2 linked regions of the Nothobranchius furzeri genome follow. The protein of the gene in region 2 interacts with the protein of the main gene of each other region in a pairwise test. Links are inferred from orthologs where the notes say so. Each region holds a gene or a part of one and is shown on either strand. Other genes may lie near its edges.

Region 1 (4,734 bases), on a different chromosome or scaffold from region 2:
AATATCTGTACGAATGGATTGTGATGCTGAAACATTTGATACTGTACCTGTAAGAAGGTTTTTGGGACCACTCCTTTGTTGCCTTTTTTGTCCTGAGCCAGCCACCATCCGTCTGCTGTCTTCTTAATTATTGTCAACACCTCCCCCTTCTGAAAGAAGAAAATATAACGAACCAGGACTCAATAGAGATAAAAGAGTAGGAAACAGGTTTCATGACCCTTACACATTAGAAGGCACCTAAGGAGGCATATTATTTTAATAATAAGTCTCTCAGACTTCTTTTTTTTTGTGTTTCTTCCCTCTTTAGTTGGACATATTATGTAAAATTCACATTCTGCACCCTTTTGTGCTGCCGTGTGGGTCTCTACAACTACTATTAACACTCCAAACATAAAAAAAATCTTTCCACCTGTTTTCTGCCAGGGCATAAAATGAGCCGTTTAAAAAAGTCATTGTTTGTGATGTCACAAATAGGGAAATTATCATAGAAACACCTCTCACGTGCAAGAGAAAGCTGCTGCTGGAGGAACACCAGCTCTACTCCAACTACTTCCTGCATATCAGAGCTTCTCAGTTCATAGCAGCCAATCAGGGGAGGGGTGGGCATGGCTAACGACGACTTGTTTTCTTAAAGGGATTCTATGCAACTGTTATCATATTTATAAATTATTTTCTTGTGTCAGTATGTGCCAAAATTACCCTTTACAAGTTTGATGAAATGTTACTCAGACCAAACCACCCCCGTGGTCAGAAAACCACACTTGCAGCTTCAGAGTTAGCAGGCCGCTCCCTGCTAGCGAAGGCAGCTGTGGAGTAGTGTGGAGCTGGAGTCTGCTTCCAGCATGTTTCCTGCATGTTTAGATCATGAACACAGCTGATTTGTTTGATTTAATGATTAATCACTCTTGCAGACACTAATGAAAGCAAAGGAGATGTTTCAGCAGTTAGATTAAGGTGTTAAAAAGACAAACTCATAGCGAGGAGAAAAGTTTCATTTTCAGTATAACCAGTGAATTAATAACGAACACTAGGGGGTGATAAAAGCAAGCAAAACTACCTGGTACCCTTTTAAAGTGACAGAGCCATGAAACGGCTCATTATGTAAGGTAGTGAAATTGTCAAGAATAAAACTGCTGATATAGTTTTATGTGAGAGGGATTTAATGCAAATGACATCATTAACAATGTTTAGAATCAACCATAAAACTGCTGTAACTTGAGAAAAGCCATAGTATGTCTCTTAAGACGGTTGTGCCCATTCCTGTTGTACAATGGTGATCACTGGACTACAGTAGCGCCATCTTCTGTTTTAACTGAATAAGTAACAAGAAGGGGGAAAAAACCCAAGCTTAAACATTTATTTTTGTTATTTAGCACCTCCAGAGCCCCTTGAATGTGGCTGAATGTATGACTAAGATCTAAGTGTTAGTGACACAGGAAGTACTTCACCTGAACAGGAAGATCTCCTTCCTGCTCTCCTTTGAAATCACAGAGGACTGTATACACAGAAGGTTTCGGCTGTGGTTTCACAGTTCTGTCATTATCTTCAACTTCTGTGTCGTCGCTGTCATCATTATCATCATCGTCGTTGTTGTCATCTTCTTCTTCGCTACTATCCTTGTCATCATCTTCACCAACATCACCTTCACTGTTGTTTTTAGAAAGATGGCTGTGGGCGAAACAGAGCAACTAGAAAATGGACTGAATGCAATCGACCAAAATTCATTTCAGACGCAACAAATCTCACTCTTTTAAAAGAAACATAATGAAGGTTGTGTTACTGATAAAAAATACAATTAAAAACACAGGATTTAAACCTAAAAATGCGCAAATAATGTCAGTAGCATTCAATACTGTTTGTTTTCTTTAAGAAGTACAGACTCAATTTCACTGCTGGGGCCTGGAGGTGATATCTCCATAAAGAGTTTGTTCAGACGCTCCAAGATGTTTTTTAGTCGTTTCTCCTCTTCCTGTTTCCTCTGATCATAGCTCCCCACTGGAGCTAGCTCATCTGCCTGGAAATCAAAGCAGCAGATTGTAAGCTCAGCTTAGTTACAATCATCCATCAGAAGCATTTAATTGTTGCCCATCTCTAAGATCTTTTATTTGACCGTTTTGAGATTGGAAAACTGACCTTTCTTAAACTCAGCAGTGTCCTTAAAGTCTTCTCTGCAGACATTTGTAGCTCGAGACATCTTTTGACAAGTATTAAGAATAGTATTAAACTTAAAATGATATTTAAAACCTACTAAAGGCTAAGATGGCCGTAGCCTTCATTGATTCTGCAAAAACACAAATGAGTTTAGAAAACACCGCCATTCCTCTGTCATCATAAATGCCTACCTGCAAAGTCTCTTGTCGTTCGATCCTTCTGGACTCTGCACATCTTTCATCAATCTGTCAACCTGTTTCAGAGGGAGAAGGAGGATGAGAGGTGATAATATAACACATTAGACAACGTAAATGTCACTGTGTAAATACTGATTTATGTTGAATAACGGAAGAAAAATAAATGTAATCTATATTTTTACTATAATAAGCTTTGCCTTCGGCCTCAAAGCTCTTTAAATAGACCACCAATTGTATTTTAGAAACATCAACTTTAAATTTACGAGCCAAATGATAGTTTTATTTCAACTATTTCAGCGAGTGAATGTACACAGTGCGTTATTTATCTAAACTAGATCAAAAAGCACCAGTAAAAGGTTTATATTTTTTTAAATAGACGGGAAAAAGTCCAGGTCCAAGCCCTTGGACGACTCGTAAGTGGTTCTTTATTGTCACAGTTTGTGCAACGGTCGCAGTCTGATACTTCATTGAGTTTTGTTTTGTTTTTTTCGTATTAAAAAGCGGCACAAATGTATGCATTGCTGCTAAACAAACCTGTCTTCCGACTTCTTCAATTTCTCTCTGGACGAGTTGCAACGGTCCTCTTTTAGGTGGCATTTATACAACATTTATGGTGACGAGCTCCATGCGTTAGCTACGCGATTAGCCTAGCTCACGAAATGACGCTGTGCTAATGGTCGCTAAGCAACCAACTTCTTCTTTGAAAATCGTCAATCTATTTGGTCATTTTTTATATTTCTAGTTTAATTACCAGACAACTATTTGCTATTTGTAGTGTGCATATTTGTAGATATGTATTTATTGAGTAACCCTAACCGTAATCACGATATATTTTTAACAAAGAGTATCCGTCCGTTTTAAAGTTATTAGTTTTACCGCCCTCTATGGGCTTGGAATGGTATTTCGTATTTACAAACTAGACAAACGAATTTTTGACTTATATGTAAATAACTTAATTTCATATTATTTATTCAAGGACAGAAATGTTGAGGGTTTTGCCACATTCCACTAAAATTTATTTATTTATTTTCTTTGTCCTCATAATAGTTTTAAAGCCTGTGTTTGTTGTTTTTAGAAACTTTCAAACGACTAATCAGGAAATCATAATTTATTTTCACCGTATAAATGCATTAAATAAATAATATAACTTCCTTATGTTTTATTTTAGTTATTGATTTTAAGGTCTCACTATTTATATTTTTTAATATGAACTTAAATTTATTTTATTTTTTTTTTTTGTTTTGTTTTTGTTTTTTACCTTTCATTCTTTGGTTAAGCACTTCCAGGGTTGTGGAAAGTGTTATACAAAGAAACTTGATTGATATTTATTTAATTTATTGATGACTATACTATTTTTTGACTATTTTTTGTTCATACCGTATTTTTCACCGCTTTTTTGTCCTCATTGTTTTCTTTTATATAGTTTTTTATTTACTTTTATTTCATTTCAATCAAAAGCAAAATCAGACTGTCACGTTATGTGCTAAAGTTGTGCTGACGCATTCAACAATGACCTCATGGGGGCGCGCTTTACTTGTTGTGAAATGTGCTACATTCAGGTGACGTTGGAATCATTTTTTCCAACAGTAAGAATTAAGATTTTCTAACAAAGCGTAACACATTTTGCGTGGTTGTTACTAAATTATGTTCAATTTCTATCATATATCCGCTAAATTTGTTATTAAAAAGATCTTTCACCGATCTACTTATGGTTTTAACTCGTAAAACTCAACTTTTCGAAGCTTCAGTGTAATTGAAGGCAGCAAGCACTCCTCTTTTATAACTACTTCTCTGCTATGGCGGTCCCCGTTGCTCTCATCCAGGGTGCCAGCAGAGGGTTAGGGCTTGAATTCTGCAAACACATTTTAAAAAATAAAAGCCTTGCTGTTGTCATCGCGACATGCCGAAACCCTGACGGGTCCTCCGAGCTCCGGGGCCTTTCAGGCCAACACCCGGGCAGACTCACGGTTTTAAAGCTGGACGTGAACCACGAGCAGGAGATCCTTGAAGCAGCAGAGCAGGTTAAGCAGAACTTTGGTCGTCTGGATCTCCTCATCAACTCCTCAGCGATGCTTCACCCTTCCAAGAGAGGAGAGACCAGCCTGAGGGATGTTTCTGCACAGGTAAAACTTAAAATGTCTGTAAAGATTAGATTAAGTTCATGATGTCACTTTGAAAATGTCAAATATGTGATCAATGTCCCCGGTGAGGCTCAGAGAATCAACAGAGTATTTTTCCACAGGTTTTTAAACCATCAATTACAAACTCAAACATATTAAAACATACTTTAAACCATGCTATCTACACATTGCAGATTTCATTATACCACTAACTTCGTGACTTATTTTCGTTTTCAGGGTGTAATTTCCACTCTGACAACCAACAC
Region 2 (4,704 bases):
TAAAGGTGTCCAGCACTGATGAGTAGAACGGACTAATCCTTGTCAGATCCAACACCTTCCGATTCAACAGGAACAGGTGTTTGTTCAGCCCAAGCCCACCAACCTTCTGCAGCAGGAGATGAGCCAGGGGGAGCCAGCGGAGTCCGTCACCATAACAAAGCTTCTGAGCTGTCTGTAACCTGAAGGCTGCAGTTCTAGACACCACGTCTATTAGTCCTTGTCCTCCCTCTGACACGGGTAGGCAAAGAGCCGAAGCTCTGATCCAGTGGTGACCAGACCAGAAGAATTTCACCAACAGCTTCTGAACACCTTCCAGCAGACGGGGTGGTGGAACCAGTACAATCAGTCTCTGCCACAGAAACGAGGCGACGAGGTTGTTTGCTATCAGAACCCTGCCCCTGTAGGACAGCTGAGGGAGCAGCCATTTCCATTTAGACAACCGCGCCTCCACCTTCTCCAGCACCTTCTCCCAGTTCTGTTTCTGAAACCTTTCCCTACCCAAGTACATGCCTAGTGTTTTAATACCTCCCGTTCCCCACCTCAACCCTTCTGGCAGAGGCGGGACATCACCAAGGTCCCACCCCCCACTACACATGCCTCACTCTTGTCCCAGTTAACCTTAGCTGAGGATGCTTTCTCATGTAAACGTAAACTAGATCTGAGTTCTTGTACATCCTGCTGATCATGGATGAAAACATTCACATCATCTGCATAAGCAGACACAACTAAGGGAGGACTGGAGTCAGGTAAAGGTAGGTGTACACCTTTCAGCCTGTTCCTCAGCCGACACAGCAGCTGTTCAATGGCTAAAATATACAGTTGTCCTGAGATGGGACAACCTGTCTGATTCCTCTTAGAACTGGTGGGTTGGCTCAGGCCCCCCGCTACCTTCACCATACAGCTGACATGACATGACAGCATCTTAATCCCTTCCAGGAAGGACCCCCCAACACCAAAGGCCTGTAGCGTAGAGAACAGGATCTCATGATCAACCCTATCAAACGCCTTTTCCTGATCAATAGAAATGATACCTGCGTTTACATCATACATTTTACAAACATCAAACACATCTCTCATTAAAAATAAATTGTCCATTAATGACTTTCCTGGTATACAGAAGGACTGATCGTCTGGGATTAGACCTCTGATGAATCCCCGAAGTCTATTAGATAGGAACTTAGAAAAAATCTTATAGTCTGAACACAACAAGGAAACTGGTCCCCAGGTTTTTAGTTGGGTTAAGTCCCCTTTTTTCGGCAGCAGGGACAGAACGCCCCAACTACACGATGCAGGAAGTGCTCCTGTCTGAAGTGAGTCTCTAAAAACATCCATCAGGTCCTGTCCAATACTGCTCCAGAAGAATTTGTAGAAGTCAGCGGGTAAGCTGTTCATCCCCGCAGATTTACCTGCAGCCATCTGGGAGACTGCCGTTGTAAGTTCCTCCATGGTTATGTCTGCATTTAAGATTCCCTGGTCTACTGTGGTCAAGGAAGGAAGCCCCTGCAACAGCTCTCTGGCACAGTTCACATCACATGGGGCGGCCTTAAATAGGCTGGTATAGAATTCTACTGCATGCTTCCTCATCTCCACTGGGTCTGTGGATAACTGTCCATCTGACAGACGCAGGCCAGCCATTTGTTTTTTCTGGTTTGAAGTCTTTTCCAGGTTAAAAAAGAAGGATGTCAGAGCATCCATGTCCTGTATTGTGGTGAGACGAGCCCAGATCAAGGCGCCTTTGGCCCTCTCTTGCAGGAAATGCCCAAGCTGCTGTCTTTTTTTGGTCTAAGGTGTGCTGTTGTTGAGTAGTAGTCTAGCACCCTGATGTCCTTCTCTAGATCTGCCATAGTCTTTCTTATTTGGTTTGTAGACCCCCGCGTGTAATGTTGACAGAAAACTCTAATTTGTGCCTTCCCTTGTTCCCACCATTCACTGATGGTCTTAAAATCATTCTTTTGGACCGCAAAGCCTCCCAGAACAGCTTAAAAATGTTGCAAAAGGTAAGATCGTCTAATAACTTTATATTAAAGTGCCAGTAGGATTTTGTCGTCCCCAACAAAATGAAGCATCAGTTCAGTTAGAGAGGAGAGAGAGAGAGAGAGAGAGAGAGAGAGGGAGAGAGAGATCCTTAGGCAGTGTTTGTGAAACAGATCCTTTGGAATTTGATGGAAAATAACTCAACAAGCTCGAGCAAATGCCTTATTCCACACACACGCACACCTGCACACACACACAAACACACACACACGCACGCACACCTGCACACACACACACAGTGCTATCAGCTGCTCTGCTGAGCTGACTGGCCAGGTCTGCTGGAATGAAGCCACCAGACCCTGGCTGACATTGGCCTTCATGCAAACAGCCTCCCGGAAGGGGCGGGCTGCTCCTTTAAACCCGCTGGAGCTTCATGTAGGCCAAAGACAAAGAGTAACATGTCACCACCAGCACATATCACACACCGTGTTACAGTAATATGTGTGGGCTCACATGATAACATCTTAATTACTGTAGTGCTATGGAACCGGGCGGCCCGGGCCCAGGCTGTTACAACCATTAACATGGAACACCGGAGCAACGACTGGGAACACCAACATGCGTCTGACATACTTACAGGGATAGACATTTTGCTGCAGCTGTCCTATTGCGCCTTTTCCTGCCAGTTGCGTCTCTAGCGGGTTTTATGCACAGCTGCGCTGGCGTCAGCCGTTCGTGGATTCCATGGAAAAGACTCCTGGTAGGAAAGGAAAGCTCCCAGCGGGAGGAAGAGGTCGGGATTTGTCTCAGTCCAGCTGGACTGCTGCGTAAAAATGCGCCTCAGAGGCGCAGATCTGCAGCAGCGGTAATGCGATCGTCCGTATGACCCGCAGACTTGACGGTTCTCGGTCCTCCCTCAAGTCACTCTGCCTCGGACTCACCCCCCACGGACGCGCGGCTATAACAGCTGGAGCATGAAGCAGCTGCGGCTGGAGGCCGAGCGGAGCGGGTGGAGCACAGCTGGCTGCTACCGTCCGCCCACCACAGGCTGGATCCTGTCCGCTTAAAGGGCCCGAGCCCCCCTCCCATCCACCATCTTTGTGTGGTTTGGGGCTACTGAGAGACGGGAAGCTGATTAAGAAGTTCTGTCCTAGCATGTCCCCTTGACCCAGCTGGGGGTGGGAGAGAGGACTCTAGTGAAAATAACATCACTGTTGGACAGTGTCCTCCATCCCATGCATGAAGCTGGTGTGGAGCTGGAAGCTCCTTCAGTGCCAAACTGCTGCATCCTAGGTCCATCCTCCCAGCAGATGTTGGACTTTATAAACACCAGTGCTCCCAGCAAAACCAGTAAACAGTCTCTTGCATTCCTTCATTCCTGCTGCTTTTATGATTTCCTCCTTCCAATTATCCTCTGTCTGCTTCTTTTTCAGCACATCCTGAGCTCCTTCAAAGGAGTCTCCTACCATCTTTACGCAGATGACATCCAACTGTACATCTCCTTTAAGCCCCATGAGATGTCTAAGCTGCAGCTGTTACACACCTGCTTAGACTCTATCAAAACCTGGATGGCTGGGAGCTTTCTACAGCTGAATGAAGATAAGACTGAGATCCTCATCTGTGCCCCAAACAAGCTGGTTCCCAAAGTCAGAGACTCTCTTGGTCAGCTTGCTTCTCACACCAAACTCTCTGTCAGGAATCTTGGCATGACCTTTGACCCAGTTCTCACCCTGGATTCTCATGCCAGTTCTCTTTTTCGCTCTTCTTCTTCCATCTCAGGAACATTGCTAAGCTGAGTCCCATTCTGAACTTGAGACTTCTCCACACCTTCATCTCCTCACGCTTAGACTACTGTAACTCTCTTTTCACGTGTCTGAGCAGAACCTCCCTGAACCGTCTACAGGTGGTTCAGAATGCCTGTGCTCGGCTTCTGACCAAGTCCTCCAAACACACCCCCATCTCCCTGCTTCTCCTCCAGCTTCACTGGCTGCCAGTCAACTTCAGGGTTCATTTCAAGATCCTGGTTCTGGTCTATAGGGCCTTACATGGACAAGCACCATCTTACATTGGTGATCTTCTTAGTCCCTACACCCCCAGCAGGTCCCTGAGGTCCAGTGATCAAAGCCTACTGGTTGTGCAGCACCAGGCTAAAGACCAAAGGTGACAGATCATTTGCTGCTGCGGCCCCCAGACTCTGGACCTCTCTCCCCCTGAGATCAGTGGACTCAGTGGTCTCCTTTAAAAAGCAGCTGAAAACTCACCTGTCCAGGCTGGTTTTAATGTCACCTTCTGCTGAATCTTCACTAGTTTCTCTTCATGCTGGTGTTTGTCAGTTCTTTTTCATGTTCCTGTGATGACATTTTCTTTTTTATTCACATTTTTCTGAACTGTTTCCCATTTCTCCCATTTTTATTATATAACAATATATATTTAATTTTTTTTCATTTATTTTATTTTCTTGTGAAGTGCCTTGTAGTTTTTATCTAGAAAAGCTCGATACAAACTTTCTTCTTCCATCAAAGTTGGCTCCATCTTTAATCTCTCTGCTGGATTTCATTATTTTGAACGATGGTGTCAACAACGATGCCTCTTGTTGGGAGAAAAGACAAGTCCTTCCAACATCATTTGGTCGTCTTTCAACTGTAGAAAAGGGACCAAACACATTGATGGCGGTTACATCACTTACAGTTAGTATGATACATGCTATACAGCGAGAAAAACTTACCTGTG

What was found. The genes of interacting proteins can lie anywhere in the genome.
Region 1: the proteins of bcar1 (region 2) and nphp1 interact in a two-hybrid assay, tested with the Homo sapiens proteins (2 studies listed by BioGRID). The link is inferred for Nothobranchius furzeri from reciprocal best matches to the Homo sapiens genes BCAR1 and NPHP1.

What each region holds. Positions count from the first base shown.
Region 1 is NC_091752.1:27,149,682-27,154,415, reverse strand, and holds the start of nphp1 (nephrocystin-1), read right to left. Parts: upstream 3,191-4,734; 5' UTR 2,946-3,190; coding exon 2,883-2,945; intron 2,405-2,882; coding exon 2,343-2,404; intron 2,195-2,342; coding exon 2,134-2,194; intron 2,015-2,133; coding exon 1,854-2,014; intron 1,669-1,853; coding exon 1,449-1,668; intron 150-1,448; coding exon 48-149; intron 1-47. Other genes in the region: zgc:65997 (C-signal), read left to right, coding at 4,145-4,471, 4,706-4,734. UniProt on the Homo sapiens protein: Together with BCAR1 it may play a role in the control of epithelial cell polarity. Involved in the organization of apical junctions in kidney cells together with NPHP4 and RPGRIP1L/NPHP8. Does not seem to be strictly required for ciliogenesis.
Region 2 is NC_091754.1:40,234,113-40,238,816, reverse strand, and holds the start of bcar1 (breast cancer anti-estrogen resistance protein 1), read right to left. Parts: upstream 3,226-4,704; 5' UTR 2,624-3,225; coding exon 2,612-2,623; intron 1-2,611. UniProt on the Homo sapiens protein: Docking protein which plays a central coordinating role for tyrosine kinase-based signaling related to cell adhesion. Implicated in induction of cell migration and cell branching. Involved in the BCAR3-mediated inhibition of TGFB signaling.